Notamacropus eugenii: one gene and its partners. The protein of the gene in region 1 purifies or fractionates together with the protein of each later gene. This does not show direct contact. Links are inferred from orthologs where the notes say so. Each region holds a gene or a part of one and is shown in the gene's direction. Other genes may lie near its edges.

Region 1 (7,706 bases):
ATAATAGTTTCTGTCACTTTAACTAAGTCTCCAGTGGAATACCCCAGGGAACCATGCTTGGTCATGTTCTGTTTTACATTTTTATCAGTTCCTTTGATAGATGGCATGCTTACCAAGTTTGTAGATGATACAGATCTAAGAGTATTACATACTAAATGATAGAAAAGGCTCTTGATAGACTTGAGCCTTGGGTTCAGTTTAATATAGTGATAAATATAAAGTCTTACATTTGAATTCAATCAACCAACTTCATAATACAAGCAGTTTGTCAGGAAAAATTTGGTGGATATGAGATTTAGTGGACTGTAAGATCCCTCATTGTAGGGTGTGGGGACTCTTGTGGATTGTAAGTGGATTGATAAACTAGCCCCCCAAAATCCTGTGATCTTGGGATTCATTAAAACATAGCTTCCAGGAATAAAGGAAGGCTAGTCCCTCTGTATTCTGTCTTGGTCAGGCACACAAATGGCCTATTGTGTTCAGTTCTGTTTGCTCCAGTTTAAGAAGGACATTGATGAGCTACAGGGAATTACAGGCAATTAGAGGTGGCACAGAGCACAAGAATTGTAGTCAAGACAAGCATGATTTGAAATACAGCTGCAAACGCTTATTAGCTGTGTGACCCAGGCCAAATCACTTAACCTCTGTCTCCCTCAGTTTTCTCACCTGCAAAATGAGGTTACAAATAGCTACCTCCCAAATTGTAAAAATAACCTACCTCCCAGGGTTGTGGTGAGGATAAAATGTAAAAGCGTAAATAAAGTACTTTGTGAACCTAAAAGCACTATATAGATTATATTATTATAATAAGTTTATTATTATCATAATGGTCCAGAGGAGGTCAAGCAAGATGGTGAAGGATATACTTGGAGCTCTTGATTAGCTGATCATGAGGAACTGTGGATGTTTTAACTTAGCAAGGACTTGATGACTGTCTCCAAGTATTTGAAGGTTATCATGTCAAAAGCAGATGACACTTTTTTGTTCGGCCCTGAAAGGCAGAATCAAGATCATAGATGGAAGTTTGAAAGTTAGACTTGATGTCAAAAACACGTTGTGTTAAGTCATTTCAGACTCCTTGTGACCCCTTTTTAGCAGAGATACTGGAGTGGTTTGCCATTTCTCCAGCTCATTTTTACAGATGAGGAAGCCGAAGCAAACAGGGCTCAGTGACTTTGCCCACCATCACACGTGTCTGTGGCTGGATTTGAACTGCAATCTCCCTGACTCGGGGCGCCACCGAACTGCCCCGCCCCATGAATTCGAGCTGTCTAAAAGGGAACTGGACTATTTGGACTACTTCTTCATAAGCATAATCTTTAAGATTACCACTTGTCTAGTAGTTGTACAGTGAGGTTAGAGTTGGACTTGACGGCTGCTATAAAATTCAGTTTATCTGTCTAGGACGCTCCACCCATACCCTGACTAGACAGTAGAGCGCAGCAGAGGACCAGTTGGCTTGGAAAGACCACTCCCAGACACGGCTTGGGGACACGGAAAATAACTATATTTTCTAGCATGCACCCCTTGCCTCCCTCCCAAGTGAATTCTGAACACTATATTTACTGGAAAGAGCTGAGAGAATGGGAGGGAGGGACGGTGAGAGAGGGCTCAGCTCCCAGGACAATTCAGAAACGTCTCTGAAACCTGGAGCTAGGGAAAAGGAACCAAGGCATGGGGTGGGGCCAGAACTTTGCCAGTTAGAGCCTGGGCAGAGAGGGGTGTAGCCTCAGGTAAAAGGGGCGGGTCCTGGTGGAGAGAAGGAAGTTACCCGTAGGATTTTCTCCGAAGCTTTCTCCCGTTTTCTTTTCACTCCCTGCGGTCGCCTGAGGTCCTTGGCCATCATCCCCCGACCCCACCCCCAAATTACAGGTAAGGGAAGGGAACTCTTGGGGCTTCTGGCACTCAGAACTAGGGATGAGACTAGACTGCAGAGTCCGGGGCTGAACTTGGGGTGGGGGTGGGAGGAGACAGCTTTTTTTTTTAAAGCACCTGTCAGGTCTAACTGGTACTTAGAAGACTAGGGAGTTCGCATGTTGGGGGAGGGGGTAGTCTGGGGACACACCTGGAGGGCAGGGGTGGACACCGGAGAATATTTGTGCATTTTCCACTTAAATGAACAAGAACTCCGTAGCCTCCCAGGGCGTAGGCGCCTCTAGAACACAAGGTAGGTTGAGGTGCAGAGGAAAGAAGGAGTGTGTGGACTCGGCCCGAGTTACCAGAATGACTTGAGCCCCATTTTCCCTTTCTCCCCGCCGCGTCCTTAGCTTCAGTCCCCATATGGCTTCCGCAGTCTGGGGGGGCACCCCCTGGTGGGGTCCGCCACCCCCAGCCCCTGCCCGTCCCCTCACGGACCTTGACTTCTGCTCCGGAGCGCAGCTGCAGGAGCTGACTCAACTGATCCAAGAGCTCGGGGTTCAGGAGAGCTGGCACGGGGGGCCGAAGCCCGGGAAAGATCTCCTCCGGGCTAAGGACTTTGTCTTCTCTCTGCTCAGTAAGTGTGTCACCTGTGGTCCCTCCTGTCCTTTCTCCAGCGCCCCCGCTCGAGTTCTCAGGCCTGCCCCGTAGAGAGCCCCTCGACTGACCCCCTCCCCTTATCCTCAGGTCTCATCCACCGACGGGACCCCCGGCTTCCTGAGCAAACAGAGCTCCTGCTCCTCCGCGGTGGAGTCCGCGAGGGCTCTCTCGATCTGGGGCCTGGACCCCTGGGCCCCTACGTCAGGGGGCCCCACTACGACGCCGGCTTCACGCTCCTGGTGCCCTTGCTCCGGCTGGACTGCGACGGGGTAAGGCCTGACCTCGAGCTGGAATCTGGCAACGTATGGCTCCGCCTCCCAGCGCGAGTGGGCGGGGCCTCGGCCCTGGAGGCTTGGTGCGACTGCCTAGGGCCCTCCGCCCCGGCCGGGCTGGAGGGGAAGCGGGCGGTAAAAGAGGCGTGCCCATTGGAGAAGCCTCCGTGTGACGTCACCGGGCCCGAGACTGCGGCGGCGTCCGCGCGGGTGCTAGAAGACGCCGACCCCAAGTCGCCACAGCCTACGGAAGAGGAGCGCGGCGACTTGAGGGATTCGGGAGAGCTCGGCTTATTGAAGGAACCGCACAGTGACGTCACAGAGCAACTCCCCGGACAGCCAGTCCCGGAGCCTGAGGGGCGGGGCCCTCAGGAAAACTGGCCCTCTTTGTGCCCCACCCAAGTGGCTGCCTGGTTTTATTCCTCGCTAGCTGCTGTATCTGTCTCCTTGACCCCGGACCCCGGTGCGGTGCGCCTGATCCATGCCGCCCGCCACGCCGGAGTCACTACCATTCTTCTGTGCACCCCGGGCCCTCCCCCCCGGGTCTTGCTCTTTGACTTGGTGCCAGGGGTCTCCGTGGCCGGCTGGCCCGATAGAACCCGGACCCACGCCTGGATGGGTCCCGTGGCCGCTGGGCCTACCGCCTGCTACCTCGTGCCGGGCTACAGAGCCAAAAAGGAGGATGGGCTCTGCTGGCGGATTTGCTTTGCCCGCCAGGAGCTGGCTCTCAAGGCCCGCATCCCCCAACCTCTGCTTCAGGCACACGCCGCCGCCCAGGCTGTGCTACGCCCCCTGGTGGCCGGGGCCGGCTGCGCCGCTCCCTACCTCCTGCGAACCCTGCTCTACTGGGCCTGCGAGCGACTCCCGGCCCTGTATTTGGGGCGACCCGAGAACGCCGGGGCTTGTTGCCTCGGGCTGCTGGACGAGTTAAGCCGCGGGCTCGAGGCTGGGGCACTGCCTGACTACTTCCTGGAAGGGCGGGAGCTGGTGGCCGGGGAGGGGGCCACGGAGCTGGCCGGGTCTCTGGCCCGACTCCGGGGGGACCCTGTAGGGGCTCTGCGAACTGCCGTGGAGGAGGCCAAGAAGGCGCGGAAAGGGGGCGGGGTGGTGGGCGGGGGTCATTAAAATATTTACAGCTCGATGGGTGGGCGGGGGGCATTAAAATATTTACAGCTGGATGGAGACAAGAATTTTTTTTTTCCAACCTCCTTCATGCCCGTCTCTCCCAATCAGTGACATAACTCTTTCTGGGAGACCTAGCCCTCGAACTTTCTGTGGCTGCTGCCTGTCTCGGTCTTGACCCTGAAAAAAACCTTAAGCCTGTGCTCAGCACTGCCACCCTTGGCCCAAAATGAACGCATCTCCCATCAAGAACCCTGACCCCCTCATCCCTTCCTAGCCTATTTTTGCCCTCTCGCGACCCCTTTTGAAATTTCTCTTATGTATGACCCTAGGTGGGAGCCGAGTGGAAAGGTGAAGGGGAGATGCTGACATAGCATGATAGGATGATAAAATGGGGCCTGGCCAATTTGGTCAGATTGGAAATATTAGAGAAAACAGTTACCACTTTTTGGTAGTGGATCCCCTCCCCATTTCTGACATCCCCCCCCAAAAGCTACTCTATTCAGTCCTCTTTTTCTCATGCATTTTCCAGACGTTTTTCCCCCAGACTCAAGCTCTGCACCTCCTTCCCCCTTCTGGGAGTCATGGCTCGCCTCCCACAACCAGCTTGTTTGTTCGTTCCCAACATCCCTAGCCACTTCCATTTCCAGGTCCTCTAACAGATCCAGGAGTCCCTTTCCACCGTCCTCTTTTTGATGCTGTCTCCGCCCCCTGCCCCGCCCTCGGACAGGGTTCTTGGGCTGAGGTGGGGGAGCAGGACGCGAGTTTGCGGCTGCTGCTACGGCTGCCGTTACTGCTTCTGCTGCCTGGGCTTGCTTTCCAGTCAGTCCTGCTACTGAGGCCTGGAACGCCGCCATCGGGGGACTGGGGACGCCCTGTGAACCCACCCCTATTTCCCTGGGGGGGGAGGGATAGACAGCATCGAGGTGGACCGTGCGGGGAACCCTCTGCTAACAGGGGGACAGTGAGGGAGGAGAATATGAGAGCCTGAGCCATCCATCACTGCCGGCAGCAGGATCAACAGGACAGGTTTGGGGGGTCTCAGGAAAGAAAGTGGGGTGCAAACAATCGCTTAGGAACGTGGGTGGGGACCCTGGGGAGCACAGAATTGCCTGGGGGGAAGTACAGGAGGTAGGTTAATTTGGGGAGTCCCAGGAAGAAAGTGGGGTGCAACACTTTGGAGTAGCTAGCTGGAGGTCAAATAGCTGGAAGACTGCATCAAGACTGACTCCCCAATAACATTTTGTGGGATATCCAGAGTGAAGTTAAAGAATCACTATTTTGGGGTGACAGGATGTAAGAAGGGACCTTCTGTTCCCACTGCACCTTGATAACCCCCAAGTTGCTGGAGCTGGAAGGGCATATTTGGAAGAGCCAGGGAAGTAGAGGTAAGGATAAGTTTAGAGGATACCTGGTCACCAGAAACTAGGGCCTCTAGTGATTTAAGAAGGTAGAGAGTGTTGACTTGCTGAAAGGGGGAGGCATAAGCCAAGTTTATGGTTGATTTGGAAAGAAACTCAGGACCCTAGCAAATGGAACCTCCGAGAAGTTCTGGGCTATAGGTTTTGAGAGTGATGGGAAGAGGTAGATATATTCTAGTCTGGGGACTAAAGGGTGGCAAAGAAGACCCCAATTATCTTTAACTTCCTCACAGCTGCTGCACCAAGTGTTGCTGCGATGGGTGATTTGGAGATGTTGTAGCCCTGTTTCCTTCTCACCCCTTCTAGATTTCTTGAGCTGACAGGGAGGAGTTGTGAGATTCATTTCTGTCATCTTTCATAGTGAGTTAAGGTCTACAAAGTCTGGTCATCGGGGATTATATGGAGAGGTGCAGAAAAACGGGATCCTCGGTGTTACATCGATTTAGGGCCAGGACAGTGAAGGAAAGGAGAGAAAATTTGGGGCTGAGAGGAAGGGGAACCCAGAGAATTGAAGACAAGAGCTGGGGATTCACAAAGCTTGAACCAAGTAAGAGTTCAAGGATTCCCATTAAGTTTAGGGGTCACAGGGGGAGAGGGCAGTTGAAGGGACCCTTTTGAAGTACTTGGGGGGAGGGCTCTTTGAGGTACTACTTAACAGCAAAGAATCCAGGAACGCAGAGAGAATAAACTTGGGGGTACCAAGAGAAGGGATTGGAGAGTGCCTTCCCGGAGAAAGGAAAGGTTTTAGCTTTCATCCTTGAACTGCCAGTTTGGAGTTTTTCTGTTGGGGGGGCATTCTGGGAGCCAGATTGAGATTGAGGATTGTGTTCTATTGGGGTGCCTCCATACAATTTGAGTTGTATACCTCCATTGTGAGAGTGGCGGAGTTAAGGGACATCGTAGGAAGATTGGACTGTCCCCTAAAGGGAGGGAAGGTGGTTGGAGATGGCGGCGCTGGCCAGCAGCCTGATCAGGCAGAAGAGAGAGGTACGAGACCCTGGGACAAGCCGACCGGTGTCAGCCCAACGGCGAGTGTGCCCGAGGGGTACTAAGTCCTTGTGTCAGAAGCAGATACTGATTCTGCTCTCCAAGGTCCGTCTGTGTGGGGGGCGACGGGCGCGGCCGGACAGGGCCCCGGGTGAGTGATAACAGTTGGGGTTTGGGGTTTCTGAGTAGGTTGAGGTGGGAGCTAAACTAAAGGAGAAATCTCAGGGATGGAAAACCGAATACCCGGGTCCCCAAGGAGAGTAGCGGGACGAAGAGGGCCAGAGAGAAAATACTTTAGAGGGCTGAGTTGAGGGTTGGATAAAATAGAAGAAAACTCCTTAATGAGAGTTGGGCAATGGGGAGGCTAGAAGTTCAGATACTCTCCCCTTCTGCTGCTCCCCAGTTTCCTTTCTCTTCCCGCATAACCCTGAGCCTCCTTCTCTTCTAAAGCTAGGGAAAATGTGAGGGGTTTTAACAGAGCTTAACTAACCCCCGCCCCTCTCAGGAACCCAAGCATCCTGTTTCCCTACCCACCCCCTCCCGGCAGTGCCAGACTACGTGCGTTTCTTCCTGTCCTTCTGCTGATTTGCTTCAAGCCCCGAACTGAGACTAACCGAGGACTCGGAACGCCTGGGTCACACAACCTAGTTTCTTCTATTCTGCGACGCCCTTTTCTCTTTCCCCTCAGTTTAGCTGGTCACCCCATCCCCATTCTTCTGCTCTTCTGTTCCCCACACGCGAGCTTGGGTCTTTCTCGTTTAACCTCACCTGGCTCTGAGACAACCTTCCTAACTCTCCCTAGGGTGTCCTTGCAGATCAGCCCCTCCCCCACCCCTACCTCCCTGCTTCCTCCCCCGCACCCCACTCTGCTCTCCCTGCCCGATCCCAGAACTCTACTGTGTCCTCCCTCTTTCCCCTCCTTCGCACCCAGGGGATGGAACAAGGAATGTCCTCTGGATTTCCTCCCCAATTCTTTTCACACCCCCAAGTTCTACTTCCTCTAAGAACACAAAGCCCTGGCACCCGCTGGACTGGCTGCCCCTTCCCACAGGAACCCAGGCGTTGAGAACAGATTCTGGGGGACTAGGGGAATAAGGAGGCGGAGGGGGGGTGGGGGGGAAGTAGGGGGACGGGGACGGGAAAGACTGACTGGGACTGTACCACCCGCAGAAGGGCAGGGGGTACTACACTAAATTCCCTTTGGGTGAGAGAAAGGGGTGACAAAGAGACCTTCATGTTTCAAAAAGGGGCACTGTCCCTGTCCTCCTTTCCCCACTTTTTCCAAATTGATTTGGAAGTGAGAGTCTCAATAATCCCCCACCCCAAGTTCTCATTGAACGATTCCTCTCCTCACCCCCTCTGCCTTTTTCTGTGGTACAGTCCAGAG
Region 2 (7,324 bases), on another chromosome or scaffold:
TTCCATTTGAATTGTCTTAGGAAGATCCTGAAGCTCACCTGGCAAGATAAGGTACTGGACACTGGGGTCCTTTCTCAAGCTAATCTGCCAAGCATTGAAATGCTACTGAAGAGAGTGCAACTCTGACTGACTGGCCGCGTTGTTCAAACGCCAAACGTACATTTGCCTAAAAGATTGTTTTATGGAGAACTCATGCAAGGCAAGGGCTCACACGGTGGTCAGGAGAAGTGATACAAGGACACTTTCAAGGTCTCTCTGGCAAAGGATGGCCTAGAATGGCATACCTGCATCAAAGAAGGTGCTGTGCTCTATGAAGGAAAGAGAATTGCAGTAACTGAAAAGAAAAGAAAAATGAGAAGTATGAGTTTAGAGATACCTCTACTCCAAATGTTCATATGAACTCTTTGTGCCCAACCTATGGTAAAGCCTTCCTAGCTTACATCAATCTGATCAGTCACAGTCAGATATACTTAACCCCAACAAAGTGATGATATTTTGGTCATTTTTGATTAAGTTGCTTGGTTGTTGTCCTTCATTCTCAAAGAGGACCATTACAGTGTGTCTGACTGTGGCTGACGAGACAAATACAAGCTGAGAATGCTCCACTGCAGGTCAGGCACAAACAGTTCATGTGAACATTTGGGGGTGTATCCTAATTTGTATATCCTGCATTTCCTTTGAGCTGTCTCAACTGTGCTTCGCTCACAGAGCACAGCACCTTCTCTGATGTGGGCACCCCATGCTGAGCGGTTCAGTGCCAGTGTCTCCCATGTCGCATAAAGGACAACAAGCAACCAATAAAGGCTTCGTCAATATCAATACCATTGGTATTCCTCAATTCCAGGCTGCTCAGCTCCTTTTAATTCCACTGCCTAGTTAAGTACTCTGCATATAGTACCCATTTAATGTCTGTTAAATTAAGATGAATTGAAAGGAAGAAAGTATAGGACTTTATAATAGACAGAGAATGAGAAAAAGGAGAGGAAAGATTCAAAGATGATTCCAAAGTGCTGTGTTGGAGAAAATGGTAGGAGTACCAAACTAATAAAACTGGGAATGTTGGGAATGTGGCCACATTAGGAAGGACAACAATGACTCTATGGTTGGAGTTTGAAGGGACCTTGGAACCCATCTAGTCCAATCGATTCATTTTACACAGGAAGAAACTGAAGCCCAAGAAGACAAAATGACTTACCAAGGGTCCCCCAATGGTACAGCAAAGTCTAATAGTGAGTTTCAGGTGACAGCTGGAAGTGGAGGCCTAGTTTAAAGGTCCAGGTCCTTGGTCAGGGTTGGGAAGAGACATTTATGATCCATCACCATGGAAGTAGTGAAGGTGAGGTACCAAAGAATGTGATGAATAAAAGAGTGGGAGAAGGAAGCAAGTAGGTAAGAAAGGAAGAGAAAGAAAGAAGGCTTACAAGAAAGTAGGTAAGAAAGGTCAAGAATCAAATCTTGGGAGATAGCTACAATTATGGGACAGGAAGAAGGAAAGGAAAGAAGTCATCAGGCAGCAGGAGAAGAATGAAGAAACAACATTTTGCTTTAATTTATCTCTAATCCTTTAACTTTTGAGAAAACAAAATACTATCCCTCCCATTTCTGGGAGTTAAATCTTCATTGGGCGGCTTGGTGGTGCAATAGAGAGAGTGCCAGCCTGGTATTCTAGACTCCTAATTCAAATATGGCCTCAGACACTTAACAAGCTGTATTACCCTAGGCAAGTCACTTAACCTCAGATTCCTTATCTGTAAAGTGGAGAAAAGAATAGCTACCTCCCAGGGCTATTGTGAGGATCAAATAACATGAAAATTGTAAAGCATTTAGCACAGCACCTGGTGTATAATAAATGTGAGCTATTATTAGTCAGTCATATAATTCAACAATTTCATGTAAATAAGCTTTAATCCTGAGCAAGACCCATCTTTTTCCTTAGATTTAAGCAAAATTAGAAACTCTGGATTTCTACTTAAACTTGAACTGATTGAGAGTGAAGTGGCTATTGGCATGAGTTGGGAGATTGATTTGCCCAGGAACTACATCACTGTTTCTTGTTCTTACAAAAATCTCAGTATTAGAATTCAGAAACCTCCTGTAAAACTGATGGCTTGTTATTTACAATAACTGTAATTATTTTATTTTTACATAAATATTTACTTAAATATTATACATAAATATTATTTTATACATATTATATTTATATGTTACTATTATTTTAAGATGCTAGGATCATAGATTTAGGGATAATAGAAGGGACCTTTGAGGTCATTTAATACAACTACCTCATTTTGCAGAGGAGGAAACTGAGGTCCAGAGAGCTAAGATTACCTGTCCCAGGTCACAAATGTAGTAAGTGCCAGAGGCAGGATTAAAACCTAGCTCTTCTGATCCCAAATCTGGCCACTTTTCCATTGCCCCATGCTATAACCCAATTCACCTTTCTGGGTCTCTGCTTCCTCCTCTGTAAAATGAAGGGGTCCATTTAGATGAGGGGGTTCTGACCCTCTGTGTCATAGAGACAAGTTCATGGACCTCTTGAAATGGAACCATGACCCCCAGTAAAGAACTCTTCTTTTCAGGCCCTAAAATCTTCCCCATTATTTAAATCCTCTGGTTTTTTGCAAAAGTACTTTTTTTCAAGGAAATATGCTTAATCAAATATACAAAGAAACAAGGAAATCTAGGGTCACAATTGAATACAGTATTTATACCATATTGTCCTTTTTCAAATTTCAAAAATCAAGATTTCATCCACCTTGGTTTTCTCCCCACTGCCGCAGAAAGCAATGAGAAGATCCCAGATTTAGAGCTGGAAGGGATCTCAGGACTCACGTACTCCAACCTTCTCATCTGACAGAGAGTAGGGAAAGTCAAACGATCTGATGGTCATGAAAACATTCAGTGACCAGGTCCTCTGCCTCCCAATCCAAGACTCTTCATTCTCTCTCAGCACACTGAAGGAGAAGGCATTGAGTTACTAGGACCAAAAAAATCATCTCCTGGTGGTGGGCAGGCTCCTGGGGATCATCGTTTAAGCTAGGCTATTCCTCAGTGGTACTTGGGGCGCCTTGAGCTTGGCAGGACCTGTAGAACACCTGTATGTCCGCAGCCCTCACCCGAGGACAGCACTCCACACCAGGTGCCTGGACCTGCTCTTTCCAGCCTGTCTTCTGATCCGTCCTTCCCAGGACCACCACAGGTCTTTTGTACAGCAGACATACAGGGTCTCCTCCTCCTCCTCCACTCTGCCCAGCCTCCTCTCCAAAGCACCCTGCCCTCTCATTTCACCAAGGGGTCTCCTTGGCAGGACTGTCGTCCTTTCGCTGTTCCATTCTCGCCCGCTCTGCAGCGCTCAGCGCACGCAGCAACTCCTCCTGGAAGTCCTCCTCGCTTGCCCTTCTCTAATGCATAGATTGGGTGATTCCTTGGCACTCGGTAGTTGCGATTATTGGTCTTTGTATCGCGCCCTCCTCTGAGATCTGCAGCTCCCGGAAGGCCGGGGGGAGGTCTTTATCTTGGAATTGTGCGCGGCGCTTAGACTCGCGTGTCCCAGCTCCAGGAGCCCAGGAAGCCTCTTCCCCCGGGAGCGGGGCGGGGGTGCACCCCAGTCTTTGCCGCGGCAGCCCCGATCCCTGCGCACTGCGCAGCTCCGGCGCCGGCGGGCTCTGGGGCGCCTTGGGCCGGGTCCCTCTGCCTTATGGCCCGGCCCCTGGAGCAGAGCCCTTCCAGGACGGGGCAGTTCAGGGATGCGCGTAGTAGGAGCGCAGGGAGGGGGCAGAAATGACTTTTTCTTTCTTTTTCCACTTAGGGTCGGACACGTCCCTTCGGAGAAATAAGACCAAACTTGCGCGCGCGCCAGAGATGGGAGAAGGGGGTGGGGGTGGGGACCTGGGGAGGAGGAGAGCGGGGCGGACGGCGCGAGCCAGGCACACGCCGGGCGGGTCCGGACCAGCGCGCGCGCGCCCGCGGGCCGGCCCGAAGCCGGAGCCCCGCCCCGTCCGCCCCTTCTCCGCCCCCCCCCCCCCGCGCGCCCTTGCGCCGGGCCACGTGACCCATTTTGTTGTGGTCCCGGCCCGCGTGGGTGTCAGTGGTGGTCAGGCCGAGGGGGGGAGGGGCCGGGAGGGGCGGGGCGGGGCCGGGCGGCGCGGGTCACGTGACTGGGGTTTAAATCTCCCGCAGCCGGCGCGGCGGGGGCGCCAGAGCTGCTGCTGCGCGTCTGCTGAGCGGGTGGGCGGGGGCCGGCGGCGGAGCGCGGGCGGCGGAGGCGGCGCCGAGGCCAGGCCCAGGCCCAGGCCCAGGCGGGCGGGAGGCGGTTGAAGATGGCGGACGAGGCGGCGCTCGCCCTGGAGCCCGGCGCGGGCGGCGCAGGTCCCGCGGAGCCCGGCGGGGAGCCGCTCAGCAAGCGGCAGCGCAGGGACGGCCCGGGCCCGGGCCCGGGGGCGGAGCGGGCCGGCGGGGCGGGGAGCCCAGGCCTGGAGGCGGCGGCTGCCCCTTTCGGGGAGGCCGCGGCCGCCCCCGGCGGGGACAATGGACCGGGCCCTCGGGGCCTGCGGGGCCTGCCCCGGGAGCCTCCGCCACTGCCGGACGACGACGACGACGACGACGACGAGGACGACGACGAGGAGGAGGAGGAGGAAGAGGGGGGCGAGGACGAGGACGAGGCGGCGGCGGCGATTGGCTACCGAGGTGCGCAGGGTCCGGGCGGCCGCGACTGCGCACCGCCCCCCGGGGCCGCCCGAGCGGGGAGGGCCGAGGAGGCGGGGGCCGGGCTCTCACCGCCGGGCCAGGCCGGGCGGCGGGAGGCCCCAAGGTCCACCCCGGGCCCGTGACCTCGGCGTCGGGACTGGCTGGGCTCCTCCCCCTCTCCCGCGCTCAGTGCGGCGAGGTCACTCCTGGTCATCCCCCGCTGCGTTCCCCTCCCTTGGCCTCCTCTGCAGGACCTCCGGTGTTCGGGGCCCCTCCCGCCTACCCCTCTACTAACCTGATCACCTCTTGTGCAGAGGCTGGCTTTTCCGCAGCCCCGGGCTGCTTGACGAGGGGTGGGTTCGGATAGCCACCCTCCGCTCCTGCCTGTTTGTTTCTAGTCCTCGTTTTTCAGGGGCTCAAGTTTTATTACCATTATTAATATTTTGGACTCTGCATGTTCAGGAAGCCGGCGTAGCGAATTCTTGCTGTAGATGAAGGTAGACTGGTGGGCAAGGTAAATTGATGTCTCCTAGTTTGGAGGTGACCCCGGGCTCTCCACGTTGGTGCCAAGAGGATCCTAAGCGCCGGCTGGTTGTGTCAGACTGAAAAGGCTTCGTTGTCCCAGCGGACCTGCTTAGGTTGTTGGGAGAAGCCTCCCCCTGAATGGGCTGCAGAGCCATGAATATGGCCACAGCAACTCCCCTACAAAGGGGGTGGAATCCGAGGAGCGAGGGAGTACTCACACCAAGGAACAGATTCTTGAAGTTTAAGAAATATGGGCAAGATCACTGAATGCCAACTTTAACTTAACCTGAAAAACTCCTTTCCCCGCTCTAATCTTATTCTTGCATAGCATCTTCAGCTCGTTACTAGTCTAGCGTTTGGTAAACCAAAAAACACTTTAAAAAAATTTTGAGTGATCCTTATTGTTAGGTGTTCTTTTGGGGAGAGTAGAGGGAAAAGGAATAGTTTAGTTTGTGATAAGTCAATTCACATACAGCCTTTTACTTCTATTGACGTGAAGCTGTTGGCATCATTTAGCATCAGGTTGTTGGCATCAAGTCATTTGATGCTGCTGTCTTTTGAACTTTTGAAGCTGTGTGACTCTGGGCAAATTACTTAAACTGTTTGCCTCAATTTCCTCAACTGTAAAATGGGAATAATAAGTAGCACCTACCTCCCAGAGTTGTGTGGATTAAGTTAGATAATTGTAATAAAGTGCTTAGCACAGTGCTAGGTGCTTAGTGAATGCTATATAAATGTTAGCTATTATTATGAAGGCTTTCTAGATATAATATATATACATATATATACACACACACACATATATATGGAAGACTTTCCAGATGAAGGAAGCAAGTATGTGAATTAACTATTATTTGGTTTACATTTACTTGAAAGCCACTACTTGTAGTCCAAAGAACTCATGTTTGATAGGCAGTCCTGTTTTATAAATTATCAGTGTATTTTTTCCTTTTTGCACTATCTTAGATTCTGTAGTTAGATTGTTAATCTCTGGGAATCTAGAATCATTTCAATGAAAACACGGTGACACTGAATTACTTAACTAATTTAAAATATAGTAAATAATTGGTCTGAAGTCCTTTCACTATGTTTCATTGTTCTGAGGAGATGACCCTGGGTGCCCAGAGACCAGTGGAGGCCAAGCTGGGAGGGTTTGTGTGTGTGTTTGGTTTTTTTTACAGGTGAGGCACTGAACCAGTCTTGCAGCTAAGAACCAGTAAGGAGTTTAGTCCCCAGGTCATTAATGATTTTTAGCTACTAACTTAAGAAACTCTCTGTTTGTTGGAGCTACAGTCTGCCTTGGGAGAGAGTGAAAATACGTATGAGATTACTCTTTTAGAAGTCGTTTGTATTTACTTAGCTTCAAATTTTGCCCCCCTGTACCCATTAGAATGTAAGGGATTGAAGATAGGGACTGGTTTTTTGGTCTGCATGTTTCCAGTGTCTATAACAATGGCTTGCAAATAGACATTTAATAAATAATTTGAAATATTAATTGAACTAGGGAAGATGAAGGAAATAAGCATTTATATAGTGCCTATTGTATACCAAGCATTTTTTACAGTTATCATTTGATCCTCACTACAACCCTAGGAGGTAGGTGCTATTATCTTCATTTTACAGATGAGAAAACTGAGGCAAACAGGTTAAGTGCCTTGTCCAGGGTCACACAGCTTGTAATTGTCAGAGACTGGATTTGAACTCTGGTCTTTCTGACTTGAGTCCCACCACTCTAATATACTCCTCCACCAGCTGCTTCCAGTAAAAAAAATTTTGAGTTCATTTACTTTTGAATATCGTTATAATGGGTCCTTAATAAGATGTCACACTTCCTTTTTGGTCCTGTGATTTCTGGCTGCAGCCAGTTCTTATTGAGGAAACTTCCTTTGTAGATTGTTGGCTAACTTGTTCTCTTAGAGAGCTACCTTTGGCACTGAGAAGTGACCTACAGTCACAGAGCCAAATCTGTCAGACTGAACCCAAACCCAGGTCTTCTGGGCTTGGAGGCCATTTCTTTGGCCAGTATTCTATACCTTCCCTTTGGTCTGCCCCTTTTTAGAGATGTCATCTATTTCCTTTTCTAAGGCATTTTATTTCTCTCTGTTTTGCAGAA
Region 3 (7,312 bases), about 260 Mb from region 1:
CTATGATTGAAATACTAGGCAAAAAATGAACTGCCACTGTCTGAACTGGGGTTCCTCTCAGTTCAAGACAAGATTTTTGGGAAATAGTACAGTATGCCACCTTTACTAGAAATTCCACTTTCAGAGCTGGTAAATGGTTCAGATTAGTCTTTACATAATTGGTAGGCAGTCTCTTTTGCAAAGTCAGCTGAGGTCCATCAATTCTCTCCACCTGCTTATCAGAAAATCTCACTAACTTTTTTATGGTAAAAAAATGTTGGTGGTGGATTGTCTTTATGAGGCTCTCCCTACTCCCTGGGGCTTTTCTGTAAAATAGGCAAGTTGCCCAGTTTCTCAATAACTTTATATGGGTTAGCTTTCCATCAGTCTGGTAACTTGTGTGCCTCTTATCCACCAAAGTTTACTTTTAAAAATATATTTTTTAAAAGTTTAAAGTAAAATTGACACCTTTTGTTTTTACATCACCCATATTTCCCACTGTATTCCCTCCCCATTCCCTCTAAAAGGACCATCCCCTGTAACTAAGAAAAAGGTTCAGCAAAACTAAACAACACATCAAACAAGTGTATGCAGTATCCCACAACTATGATCTCCATTGCAAAAAAAAAAAAAGTAGGAAGCAAACATTTCAAATTTTATAAAAGAATTTTGCCTCCTAGTTTGAGGACTTGAAAATTTATGCATCATTTTGGTCAGCTCTTCTGAAGTGAAGTCATGGCTAATTGGTAGACTTATTTCAGCTCCTTTTTTTAGCTAAGAGATGTATTTGCATTATCTCTATCCTCAGAAAACCTAAAGGACAAGTCAATAGATTAGCACAGCTCTTGACCACACATAAGCAATACAGGATAAAACCTGGGACATCACTCCTAAGGTAGTTATATCTGCACTAGAAATGTCACATGCTACCATCACTGAAATTTCTTGTTTTAGTCTTAAAAGTTTTTAATATGTTAAAAAGCACAAAGTGGTAGGGTTGAGGCCACGGGTCTCCTTGTGGATTGTGATATATAGCTCTAGACTTCCTGATATTTGACAATGCTACATTTCCTTGAAAGCTTGTTTTGGTCATAATGGATCCTGGCAGAAAATCGCATCAGTCAGTCAACAAACATTTATTAAGTGCTTACTACATACCAGGTACCATACTTACTAATCACTGGAGATACAATGGTAAAAACATTGCTCCTACCTTCAATGGCTTAGCATCTGTGAATACTTTCTGGTTCCTGGTTGGGTACACTTGTGTATACTTGGCAAAATGATTAGTCATCATTAAGATATGATTCATCTTTAATCTTCACTATTACCTATGCTTGGGGTCTTAGTTGGACAGGTGGGGTAATAATAGCACCTACTACACAGGATTATGAAGATCAAATGAGATTATATATAAAGTGCATTGCAAACCTTAAAGCAGTATATTTTGGTTATTATTTTTATTATTGGTTTACATGTTGCCTTAAAATTAGTCTCTGCCTGTTTTGGCAGGTTGTTTATCTGACATATGTGTATATGTTAATTTCCTCTTTAGAATATGTTTCTTCAAAGCAGGGAATGTTTCAATTTTATCTTTCTACCCACAATACCTAGCTAAGTGTCTGGCACACAGTAAGCACTTAATAAATGTTTGTTGATTAAATGACTGATTCTACTCTAAGATCCCTTCTAGCTCTAAGTTTATGATTTTATAATAATAATAGTTACCATTTCTATAGTGCTTTAAGGTTTGCAAAGCGTTGTATAGTCAAAGCTAGGATTTTTCCAGTAGTAATGTGTGGCTCTGAGAGTTGGACTGTAAGAAAAGCTGAGCACCGAAAAATCAATGCTTTCAAATTATGGTGCTAGAGAAGGCTTCTGAGAGTCTCTTGGACAACAAAGAGATCAAATTAGCCAATACTTAAAGAAATTAATTCAGAGTACTCAATGGAAGGACAAATACTGAAGATGAAGCTTAAATACTTTGATCATATAACGTGAAGACCGGACTTTTTGGAAAAGACCCTGATGTCAGGAGAGAATGAAGGCAAAAGGAGAAGGGAATGGCAGAGGATAACATAGATGGACAGTGTCATGGAAGTAATGAACATGAGCTAAGATAGACTTTGGAAGACAGCAGAGTTTAGAAGGCCCTGGAGTGCGATCCATGGGGTCACATAGAGTTGGACACGACTGAACAATAACGATTACATACATTATCTCATTTGATTCTCACAACAAACCCTGTGCTATTCCTGTTCTCATTTTACAGACGAGGAAATGGAAGCTGAGAGAAATGAAAGGATTTGCCTTATGGTCACATGGTTAGTATCTGAGGTAGTAATTTAAATTCAGGGGTTCTAGACTCCATGTCCAGCACTCTAATAATAACAGCTAGCAATTCTATGCTACATTTGGATTTGCTAATACATACATACACACCCCTCATCTGAGATTTGAACCTCATCACAAACTGTGTGAACTAAGTGCTTTTTTTGACTCTATTTGAACCTCAAAACAAATCCTGTGAATGTCATTACTCCTGTTTTTACATATGAGGAAACTGAGGTGGAGAGAGGTTAAGAGACTTGCCCCAAGGTTACCCAGCTAGCTGGATTTATACTAGGTCTTCTTGACTCCAACTCCAAAACTTTAATAATAATAGTAATAGATAGCAATTTATAGCACTTTAGGATTTGTAAATATATATGATACATATATACATACCTACATGCATACATATACACACACACATATATACACACAGAGACACATATATACATACACACATATACACATATACACACACACACATATATACACACACACATATACATATACACACATATACATACATACATACATATACACACATATACATACACACATACATATACACACATACACACATACACACACACACATACACGCACACATATACATGCACACATATACATGCACACATATACATGCACACATACACATATATACACACATATACATACACACATACACATACACACATACATATACACACATACACACATATATACACACATATACATACACACATACACACATATACACACATATACATACACACATACACACATATATACACACATATACATACACACATATATACACACATATACATACACACACATACATACACATATATACACACATATATACACACATATACATACACACATACACACATATATACACACATATACATACACACATATATACACACATATACATACACACATACACATATATACACACATATATACACACATATACATACACACATACACATACACACATATACACACATATACATACACACATACACATATATACACACATATACATACACACATATATACACACATATATACACATATACATACACACATATATACACACATATACATACACACATACATACACACACATATATACACACATACACACATATATACACACACATACATATACACACATACACACATACATACACACACATATATACCTCCTCATTTGAACCTCACAACAAGCCCCGCCAGGTAAGCGCTGGGACAGTCACTCCCATGTTACACATGAGCAGGCTGAGGCCGAGGCGGTTACCCGACCTGTCCCAGGCCCACCCAGGCGGGCAGCACCTGAGGCCGGCTCCGTACTGGGACCTTCCCGACTCCCACCAGCACACCAGTAAGACCGCGGGCATTCCCAGAGCGCACAAAGGTTCGCCAAGCGCCTCGCCCACGTAAACTGCGCTCTCGGGAACACCTGCTCTCCTTCCGGACCTCACCTTTGCCCCACCCCTTCTTCTATCCGGCCCCCAAGTCCATTTCTTCCTTTCCCGAGTCTGAGCCCCGCCTCTTCCCTCGTGGATTCTTTCCCTTCTTCCGCGTCCATCCTCTCGGCTACCCCTAGCGAGAGCCGGCCTCGGCTCCTAGCAACCGCATCCTCCGTTCCCTGACAACGGCGGGCGGCGCGTCTTACGTCATCACGCCTCAGCCCCGCCCCGTAGCCTTACTCCCGCCCTCTAGCTCCGCCCCCTCCCCCGCGGTACTCCCCCCCCTGCTCCGCACCCCCTCCCCCCCAGTTTCCCTTAGTCCGGGCTGCCTGCGCCGCCTGAGACTCTTGCTGAGCAGTCATGGCGGATCCCGCAGCCCCCGCGCCCGTCGCTCCGGCCCCGGCGGGTGGGCCGCCGGTGTGCGGCCCCGGGCCGGTGGCCGCCGGCTCGCAGCGCCTTCTCTTCTCTCACGACCTGGTGTCGGGCCGTTACCGCGGCTCGGTGCGCTTCGGGCTGGTGCGCCTCATCCACGGCGAGGACTCGGACTCGGAGGGCGAGGAGGGCCGCGGCAGCTCCGGGGGCTCCGAGTCCGGCGGCCCGGGCAACGAGGAGAGCCGCGCCAGCCCCCTGCGCCGCGGCTACGTGCGCGTCCAGTGGTACCCGGAGGGCGTCAAGCAGCACGTGAAGGAGACCAAGGTGAGTGAGGGCCCCCAGCGGGCGGCGGGGGGAGAGGGCGGGAGGACGGAGGTAGCGGGGAGCCGGGGCCCCGGGGCCCGCGTGGTGGCCGAGCCTGCGAGGGAGCCCGGGGGCGGAGGCGGGAAGGGGGCCCCAGGGTGGGGACCGGCCGGGGCAGGTGCACTGGGCCCCGCGGCTCGACCCGGTGCTAAGTCATTGCAGCAGGGCTGAGGGCGAGCCCCGGGTGCGGAGCGCGGGGCAGGGCCCTCGGACTCCCGGACTCTCTGGGAGGTGGTTCTCCGGGCCTCCTCGCGCCTGCTCGGGCCCAGGGACTGAGGCGCCCGTCGGCACTTTGCAAGCTAGGGGCGGGGGTGGAGGGAGACATGGAGCCTGTTCCCGGAGTGCTGAACGCCGACCCCCCGGGGAGCGACACGGGCTGCATTGTGCGCGGCCCAGAAGCCATCCAGAAAGGAGAGGCCCTGCCTTGTCAGTGTAGGCGTCAGGGAGGCTTGGCTGGGAAGTTCCGTGGGGAAAATACGTATATTATATGTGAAATATGTGTGTATTTTTCTTTATTGCGAAGGAATTTGCTTTGCTCTTATTTTATCCCGAGTACCTTTACATAGTTGCTAATGGGGAACTTTGTGAAGGCAAGTCAGATGCTTTGCAGTCCTGAGTAATGGTATGTGTAGTACAGTATTCATGATAACCAAGGCTTGGGGGAGAAACGTTGAGAGCCGAAGAGGGGGTGGTGGTGCTCTTTATAGGAACTGAGGGAATGATGACATTTCAGCATTTGGAAGTGCCTTTGAAAAGGCTGAAATGGGAGCTATCTAGGGGGGAAAAGTTGCTTGTGCATGTTCAGATAGGCGGTGAAAATAAGTGATTACTCAAAAAAGTCAATCTTAAGCATATTTGGACTTCTTGGAAAAAACGCTTTAGGAACCAACCTACTGACTGCTGCAAATCCACTAATTTGGAGTGGGACTTAAAGGGATTTTCTTGCTCCCAGGTTGTAACGGAACATCACTCTTCCATATGGCTGTCTGCATTGGAGCTGGGGGAAATGGATTGATAAATGCTTTGGAAACAAAGGGTTTGGCAGCCTGTAAACTAGGACCAAACATATTTTGTTAGTTTGTGGCTGTTTCCCAAAACGTGGATTGATATCGGTGACACACAAGCACACCCTTGTTTACCGTCTGTGTCCTCTACCCTTCCCTGCCTCTTTCCCTCCCCCCACACCCCCACGATTTTCTTTGCTTGGATAAGGCCTGAAATGTTTCAGCCATCTGGGTCATTGCTATTGGAAGATCTGGTTTTTAGGGAGTGGGCACATGAGAAGTTAGTCCTTTGCTAGATTGGATGCCTCACATGGGGAGACAAAGGAGACTGAGAAATGGAACGTCTTGGCTCATTATGAAGGGGGGGTCTTTGGATGAAGATGTCACTCAGGGAGAGAGGCCCCATCACAGGAAGAGACTGTAATCCATTTTCTAGTGGCAGAAGTGATTGCAGATTCCAGCTGGGTCTTCTACATAAATGCTCACATACACATTTAACCTCTCTCTATTCCCCACCACCCCCAAATGAAACTTGAGTAGTAGCAGTTTCATTCTTAAAATTCATTTGATAATTTGGTTGGAAAATGCTGCTTTTTGCAGTAGGATGTTATGTTAATAAGCACTCATCGTTATTATTTATGTCCTCAGGAAGTGGATGTTTATTGTTCATTGCATATGTCTCAAGTGCGTGGGGATTCTGGTGCCTTTTTATGGGCTTTTGAAAAATGTATTTTTTTCCCCTACCTTCCCTTTTTGTATGTTATAACTTAAATTTTGACTCCTTGCAGCTAGGCTTCTTAATCTTGAGACAATAGAGGAGCTAGTTCCTGATTTCCAGGCTCAAACTCTCTCCTTGGCCTTTTCAGTTCCTGGCTATTGCCATGTTTAAAAGTTGTTTCTGTCTTGGCTTCAGGAGTTACCTTTGTTTACAATTTTGGTTTTATCTGCCTTTTCTGTTTCCCTCCACTCCAGTCCAGTGACTTATACTTTGAATTATCTACTAGTTTTGAAGTCATCATAAAAAAATTACCATATGGTTCCTGCATGGACAAATTCTGAATATAATTCTGAATTAGTTAAAATGTGGTTAGGCTAACTGATTAACCGTGTTAAAACAGCGCTTTTTTAATTTGCTATCATATTCTCGTTTTTGTGTTCCTATCCTTCCAATCAAGGCATATCAAAAGAATGCTTAGAATGTTGTGAATTGTAGCATGATGGACTCATGGAAATAGTTTTGATGAATTTTAGATTTTTGAACATGACAAACAGGGGGCCCATTAAAGATTAATTTTTATATTTAATCAACTTTAACTTATTAAAAATAAATATATCCAAACAGCAACTAAAAATTCTTTGTTACTTGTGCCTGGCATATATTACATACTGAATAAATATTTGTATTTCTGTCTATTCTGATCTTCATGATTGTACCAAATATGTTTTATGCAGATATAAGTAGTATATATGCAATATTTCAAGTAATGTGTTTTTTCTGTATATTTCTTCATATTGATCTTTTTTATATTTACTCATAATTCTTACATTTGCCATTTTTTTTTTCTGGCAACGTAATGGCCCTTTGCATTAATGCACCGCAGTTTGCTTACCCATTTCCCAACCCCATTGTGCATTTGGGTTTTTTCCAGTTGTTTTTTTATTATTATTATATATAGCACAACTGTAAGGGGAGTGGGAATGTAGAGATCAGAGGAATTTAAAATGGCTACTAAATCATGAATAGTATCAGTGGCTCCTTTTAAAATAATCGGGCTTAATGTTTGGT
Region 4 (7,232 bases), about 210 Mb from region 1:
CTATAATTATCCCCATTTTACAATTGAGGAAACTGAGGCTGAGGGGGGTTAAGTGCTTACCTGGAGTCACACACCTAGTAATAAAAAAAAGAATAAGAATAGCTAACATTTATATAGGCAATACACTAAGTGCTATACAAGTTTTACCTCACTCGATCCTCATAACAACCCTTCTGGGTAGCTACTATTATTATCCCCATTTTACATTTGGAAAAACTGAGGCAAACAGAGGTTAAGTGACTTGTCCATTTAGTTCACAGATGTCTAGTAAGTGTCTGAGACTGGATTTGAACTCAGGTCTTCCTGACTCCAGGCTATATGCTTTCACCACAAGTTGTCCCACTTCTTCATTGTAAAGTTGAGGAAAGTAAGGCCCAAGAGAGGTTAAAGAACTTGCCTAAAGTCATACAGGTAAGAAATTGGTCAAGTCAAGATTTGACCAGTACCTCTGACTATAAATCCAGCATTCTTCCCACTTCATGCTTTGGTAGAGTAGCTCCCAAGGTTGAGCCTACTCTCTGTAAGCTCAGAGTTAGAGATACTGGTCCATGGGTTACAAGTGTAAAGTTATTCAAAGAAAGTACCATAGGAAATCTGAGGAAGGAGATACTACTTTCATCTAAGTGTGGCAGTAAATAAGGCATCCTGGATGAGTTAAGGCTGGAAGGATGGGAGAAACTTTAATAGACAGAGATAATAATAATAACTCAAATTTATATAGCACTTTAAGATTCAAACAGCATTCTGTGTTAATAAAGGAGGAAACAAGCACTCATGGAGATGAAGTGATTCACCCAGGGTAACTCAACTGGCAAGTATCCAAGCCCACATGATAACCTGAGTCTCCTAATTAAAAAGTTGGTGGGAGGAGGGAGGAAGGAGGAGGTTGATTCTACAGATGGAGAATAATGTGGGCATATTAAGCAAAGACTTGGGAAGTAAGACCAAACAGAGGATAGTTCAGTTTGGCTAGAATGTATATGTGAAGGTAATTAGTATGGAAAAAAGGTTGGAAAAAGGAAGTTTGAATCAGAATATGTAAAACCTTGAATGCCAAGATAAATGATTTATTATATAGGTAATACATATCACTGACAATTTTTGAGTAAAAGAGTCACATGATAATCATGTAATTGTAAGTATGTCTAACCCCAACTAATGTAACCCCAAAAAGGCCAGAGTAACTCATTGATTCAATCAATCAAAAGTATATACCAGATGTGAACAAGTCTTTAATTGATTTAACAGAAGGAAAATGATTTGCTTTGATATTAGATAAAGATGGGAAATACCTTTTGATTGTCCAAAATATTGGACACACCTCTGGGCCTACGTATAAGACTTCAAGACAATTTGGAATCAACAATTCCAATAGCAGGCCCATTTATGAGCAAAGGAACTTCATCCAAGTTTCTGAAAGAGAATCATTTTGGGGCAAGTGTTTTTCCCTTTCACCCAAGGTCGAGTAATCCTGAACTTCTATCACAAGCTCTTACCAGTGGCCATAGTCAGCAGCTGTGTCCACTAGAGCCATAAGAGTTGGGAAATAATCAAGCAGCAACCTTGAGATGGACATACTTAGTAATTTTGTAAACTTTCTACAATCTGGAGAGGTCTTAGGGTAACAGCTGGTATTTTCTTGTTTCCCAGCATCTAAACAGAATCTGGGGAGAGACTGTAGGCAGCAATTGAAAAGTGACCTGACCCAGCAGAGGAATGGCCTAAGAACAGACTGACTCAACCTAACAGCAATGCCTTTCTCTCTTTGAGGAGTTAGCCCAGCAGATAAGATTTGTCCATTACCGATGCCATTCCCTGCAGCGAATTGCATGAGTACTACACAATAGAAAGAAAGAATTTCCAGTGGCCAAGAGTTATGCGGTATTTTTTCACTATATGTATTTCCTATGCATATGTCTCACTTGCTCTCTGAGTTGGAATCTATTCTGCCCAAGAGACCTTGTGCTTACAAAGTGATAGAATGTCCCACTCTCACCCTCACCCCATTTTAGAGGGATTTTAGTACCAACTGTTCTTACAATGTCATATAAGTAAATACCTTTTCTAAAAAGTTAATTGAGGATACTGGCTAATTACCAACAGAAACCACACTGGTAGGGGCTCATAGTTAACAGTCTAGTGCTAGAAACTCAACTTCTTATAGTTATCCTTAGAACTTTGAGGGGGATTATAGTCAACTACCCTCTGTGGCTGAGAGTTATGGGAGTTGGTCTCAGGGTATAATTTAAGCATATAAAATTGTATCATAGATACAGAAAGACCTTAGTCAACCCCTCATTTTATACATGAGGAATCTGCGGCCAAGGAGATTAAGTGATTTAATCCTTTTTTAACGTGTCCTTGATCTTTTATCAATGTAGACTGGCACCTGAAACTTACAGTTTTTGAAAGTTGCTTTGAACATTGAAAGGTTAAATGATTTGCCCAAAGTCTTACACCCAGAATGTGACAAAGGTAGAACTTGAACTCAGGGTTTCCAGACTCTGAAGCCTGTTTTCTACCTACTAAGCCACACTGACTCTGCATGCTGATACACAGCAGAGAAGAGATTTGAACCTAGGTTCCCTTACCCTCATAGCCATCTCTCTTTTCAATCACCTTATATGAAGAAACTCATTTAACCCCAACTACTCTCAAGTTACTTTAAACCAGCTATTCTCAAAGTATGGCCTGGGGATAGCAGAGGGGTCCCTGAGACTCAGTGGGTCTTTGAGGTCCAAATTAGTTTCATAAGAACACTAGAATGTTTTAATTTTGAACGCAGTAAATATCAATCAATATAACCCATATAAAGCTCTTCTTTTTTAATTAAATATTTTCATTTCTAACACAATAAATATTGATAGCTACAACCCATATAAAAGCTCTTTGGGCTAATTTTTGACAGTGTAAAGAAGTCTTGAGGTTAGAAAGTTAGAGAATATAATGGCTGGTTCTTATGGGTACAACTTCCCACCCAAATAGAAACCTTCACCATCCAGTTAAGTCAAGTAGAGCACACACTATGATCTCCTTATCCAGGGCAGCGGTCCCTGGGTATTTAGGCAGATGTGTTCTTTCTCTCCCATTGGACAGGTAGGATTCAGAAGAGCAGAAGTGATGCTGGAGCTTCTCTAGGTCTTAGGACCCAGGTCCTTCGGGTCCCCTGTAAGTTATTTGTGGATGACTTCACCAGGCACCGTATGAGTGCACTCTGCGCCCACAGAGCAGACGGGACCAGACCGGAGGAGGCTGACCGTGCCTCGTGCTAGGGTGGGGCACCCAGTCCAAGGCTCATCCAAGGCGGTGACTTTCTCCTCCACTCCCCACCCTTCCTGGTCCTTCAGACCCTTTCCCAGTGGGCTGCAGAAAAAGTCAGCTCAGCCTCCAGTTGTCAACAGGCATGGGCGGGAGGACCGTGGAGAAATACGGCTAAGAAATGGGGAGAGGCAGGCACTGCCCATGAGACAGAGGGCCACCGGCTGGGGCCGAAGCAGCGACCCCTTGGTCTGAGCTCTCTAAAGCGGAGGGGGCCGAAAGCAGGATCTTTCTCCAGCTCCCCGTGCCTCCTCTTCCCCTCTGGGACCTTGCATTTTTACTTCTATACTTGATACATTTTATATAATTAGATGCTAAAGCGCTGGCTCCTTCAAAGCCTGGAAGCCCCTTGAGGGCAGGGCTGTTTTGTCTTTTCATGGCGTCTAGCACACAGTGGACGACCTGTAAATGCGGGTTGGTTGACTGACTTTCTGAGACTGGTTGGGTTCCCTAGCACGGAGAGCAATCCCCGGCTCCCCACACCACGCTTAGCGCTCCTCTGCCGGCAGGACTTTCAGACACGTGCGCTGTAACTCCGCCCCCCCCTCCCCCCGCCCCGGGGGCGAGGTGCTTCTGCGAGGGCTCAGCGCGCCACCTGGTGCCTCTCCAGGATCGGTTCACTCTTCCCCTTTGAGTGCCCCAACTGCCGCCTGGGGGAGGGGAGGAGGAGGAGGAGCCGGGGAGCGGTTTCTAGCGTCGGGCGCGTGCGTGTTGTCGTCACTCGCTGCCCGGAGGCTTTCCCCGCCCTTCCCTTCGGCGCCGGCTCCCCAGGGCTGCCAGTCCTTGACGCGCCCCCCGGCGGCCTCTGCCCTGACCGTGCGTAGTTGCGTGCGGCGCGCGAGCGTGCGGCGGAGGCGGCGCGGGCCGAGAGTAGCGCGCCGCTTCTGTGGCTGGCCAGGCGCCGCGGAGCGAACTGGGTGCCGGCTCCGCCACCTCAGCGTCCGCTTCGCCGAGCCCAGGGCTCCGGTGTCCGCCTAGTCCCGCGGGGGCGGCCGCTTTGGGCGGCCCGGCGTGCGGGCAGGCCCGAGGGCCGGGGGCGGTGTGAGCTGTGAGGGGGGATCGCGGGCCGGCGGGCGGCATGTCGGTGCCGGATGCGATGCCGCTGCCCGTGGCCGGGGTCGGGGTCGGCGAGGAGCTGAAGCAGGCCAAGGAGAAGGAGGACGCCGAGAAGTACTCGTTCATGGCCACCGTCACCAAGGCGCCCAAGAAGGTGCGGGGGCGGGCGGGCCCGGAGGGGAGCGCGCCGCGGGTGGGCCGGGCCCGGAGCCGGGGGAGCTCGGGGTGACGCAGCCAGGGCCCCCGGCGCTGACGTGTGCGGGCCGCCCGCCGCTCGGCCGGCCCGGGCCGCGCTCGCTGGCTGCCCTTTGTCGCTTCGCGGGCTTTGTCCCTTCCCTGCCCTGGCCCGCGGCGATCAGCTCCGAGGCCTCCGAGTCGGGTTCCACAGTCGTACCTGACTTTCCGCTGCTCCCTGGCCCGGGGGCTCCCGGACCCGGGATGGGGGGCGGGCTGGGCTGGGCGGGGAGGGGAGAGGGTCCGGCCCCTGGACAGCCTCCCCCTTCACCGTGTCCACCCCGGCCCTGGCGGCGGCAGAGCTGACCGCCCTATTCAGGCCGGCATCCCCCTTGGGGTGGCTTTGGGGGAGGGGGAGGGTTGGGCGGCGCACCCTGGGAATCCTTCTGGGGGATGCCCCTCGCAGTAACCCCGAGCCAGAGTGAAGACCGCTTGCACCCGGCTGGCGAAGGTAATGGTGAAGAGACCAGCCACCATCCCCGACCGTGTTCTGCAAGCTCCTCTGACTGTGAATTAACCTTTAGAGGTTGGTAACCACTACTACCATGGACCCGGGGGTCCGAGAGACCCACTGTGTGCCTCCCCAAGACCGAGCTTGTGGCAGGGGTGGGCGGTAAGGAATGATGGATTGATCATTCCTTGTTGCACTTATTGAGGCCGAACAAGTTGAATAGTTATTTATTTATTTGATCTGTTTGTTTTTGCGTTTTGGCTCGTTTTTTGGCCCTCGGGTGAGATCAATGGGTTTTTAGGCCAGTTAACTCACTGACTAGGAGGATTTGGGGGGGCTAATGCAGGCGCGCAGCCGCCAGTTGTGGTTTGACTTTCCACTCAACCCTGACCTCAAAATAAAAGAAGTTGCGCAGAAGAGAGGTGACTTTCTGAGGCTGATGGAACCTAAGTCAGTGCTTTCAGCTCCCTTTTAAAGACAAAAATATTTCAGGGCTCTCTGTTTTTAAAACCATCCCCGGGCTGCAGTACTTGCATAAGCTCAGCAAAGCAGGGCTTGCAGGAAGACTAGATAGTACCCTCTGAAGCTTTTGCACCTGATCCTGTGCAAAGGAGCGAGCCTTCCCATTTTGTTTTTTGGAGGAATTCTGTTTTACAATTCAGAAACTGAATTAAGAAGCACAAAGCCTTCATTGTGTGTGCTATATCTGTTCTCCAATAAGGTCTTACTCGAGGAAAGCCTATGTTTTCTTTAAAAAGGATTGAGGGAGTTGTTCTTTGTGCTCTCTGGAAGCCTAATCTTGTTCTGTGGGGTTGTAACCCTTTGTATTCTATTTTATTCATTGGAGTGACTGTCCCTTTACAAATAGAATATTTATTTTTAGTTAAAGCATTGAGATGAGTCAGTGGTAAAGCTGTGGAGGTACCTTAGAATTATAATAAAGCCAGAAGAGAACTTAGAGATCATCTAGTTCAACCCCCTCACTTTGCAGAGGAGGAAACTTGGGAAAAGTCATCCAGTTACTTAATGGTGGGTCTGAGGCTAGAGCGCAGGCCCTCTGGATCCCAGCACAATGCAGTGCTGGCAGCCTGGCAACAATGCCTCCCCTGGTATCCCAACTTCCTAGAACCTTGTTCTTCCCCAGTAGGCCCTTTGAATAGCTGTCACAGAGTTAGGTGCTGTTGCCCTTTAACCTGATAGGCACCCTGGAAATCTCAGTTGCCTGAAAGTTCACCTGGGCTACTTGTACTTGTAACTTACTAGTATATTTACTGAGAGTCATTCTCTCTGCCTGAAAGGACTGGGTGCTAATACACTTAACCTAGTGATCCAAGCTAAGTGTTCCTGATTTCAGACTCATTAGCAAAAGGCTACTCAATCTCTACCAGAGATGTGGTGGGTTTTCATTTACTTGTAAACGTGTCCTTATGGTTCTCATTAACTTTGCCCTTTCTGAGTTTTATTATTCAGCTTTTATGCAACTATTTAACACTGAGTGCTTTATGACGACTAATTATTCTTCCCCCTAGTGATAACCAGGAGCATTCATTTTGTTAATGGAGCAGTTAAGGACTGGTTCAAGGTCACATACCAAGTCCAGCAGAGCCCTGGTGTTAAGAGCTTCTCAGTTTTACATCAACCTCTGTCCAAGTTACTTTTGTACCCCTGCCATGTTTGAATAACTTGATTTCCTTCTCTTTGGAAAAACTAGAATAACACAAGCGATATAATAAAATTAATTACCAAATCTAATGGCCTGTTTTCAGTCCTTGACTTTTTTTGGCATTTGCCACAGCCGATTACTAACTTTTTACTGTGTAACTTTCTTGTTCTTTGACTTCAGAAATACCAGGCTCTCCTGGTTCTGACACCTTTCTTGTCTCAATGGTTGCTGTCCTCTTCCTGACTCCAGTACCCACAAGGTGAATGTTCCTCCCAAGAGTCTGCCCTTGATTCTGATTTTTATTCTCTTCTTTGATAATATCATTGACTTTAGTGACCTCAGATGAGGAAATAGGCACAAAATGGCTAAGAACCTCAATGCAAAGGCTCTCAAATGTGTCTGTATGTAGCATTGGGTTTCCACCCCCCCCCGCCCAACCTCCCCACCATCTTCATTTCCTTTGATTTTTTTCCTCTGCATCTTTGCTGATTCATCATCTACCTTGTGCTC

The links.
Region 2: the proteins of FGF11 (region 1) and SIRT1 purify together in Homo sapiens (affinity purification with mass spectrometry; 3 studies listed by BioGRID and IntAct, with this or other methods). This does not show direct contact. The link is inferred for Notamacropus eugenii from reciprocal best matches to the Homo sapiens genes FGF11 and SIRT1.
Region 3: the proteins of FGF11 (region 1) and UBE2O purify together in Homo sapiens (affinity purification with mass spectrometry; 3 studies listed by BioGRID and IntAct, with this or other methods). This does not show direct contact. The link is inferred for Notamacropus eugenii from reciprocal best matches to the Homo sapiens genes FGF11 and UBE2O.
Region 4: the proteins of FGF11 (region 1) and AHCYL1 purify together in Homo sapiens (affinity purification with mass spectrometry; 3 studies listed by BioGRID and IntAct, with this or other methods). This does not show direct contact. The link is inferred for Notamacropus eugenii from reciprocal best matches to the Homo sapiens genes FGF11 and AHCYL1.

The regions. Positions count from the first base shown.
Region 1 is NC_092873.1:78,544,707-78,552,412, reverse strand, and holds the start of FGF11 (fibroblast growth factor 11), read left to right. Parts: upstream 1-4,673; 5' UTR 4,674-6,277; coding exon 6,278-6,470; intron 6,471-7,706. Other genes in the region: TMEM102 (transmembrane protein 102), read left to right, coding at 2,268-2,494, 2,605-3,914.
Region 2 is NC_092872.1:261,064,398-261,071,721, reverse strand, and holds the start of SIRT1 (NAD-dependent protein deacetylase sirtuin-1), read left to right. Parts: upstream 1-4,238; 5' UTR 4,239-4,319; coding exon 4,320-4,686; intron 4,687-7,322; coding exon 7,323-7,324. UniProt on the Homo sapiens protein: NAD-dependent protein deacetylase that links transcriptional regulation directly to intracellular energetics and participates in the coordination of several separated cellular functions such as cell cycle, response to DNA damage, metabolism, apoptosis and autophagy.
Region 3 is NC_092873.1:342,947,030-342,954,341, reverse strand, and holds the start of UBE2O ((E3-independent) E2 ubiquitin-conjugating enzyme), read left to right. Parts: upstream 1-4,126; 5' UTR 4,127-4,147; coding exon 4,148-4,483; intron 4,484-7,312. UniProt on the Homo sapiens protein: E2/E3 hybrid ubiquitin-protein ligase that displays both E2 and E3 ligase activities and mediates monoubiquitination of target proteins. Negatively regulates TRAF6-mediated NF-kappa-B activation independently of its E2 activity.
Region 4 is NC_092873.1:288,330,723-288,337,954, forward strand, and holds the start of AHCYL1 (S-adenosylhomocysteine hydrolase-like protein 1), read left to right. Parts: upstream 1-4,186; 5' UTR 4,187-4,396; coding exon 4,397-4,528; intron 4,529-5,111; exon of another isoform or gene 5,112-5,134; intron 5,135-7,232. UniProt on the Homo sapiens protein: Multifaceted cellular regulator which coordinates several essential cellular functions including regulation of epithelial HCO3(-) and fluid secretion, mRNA processing and DNA replication.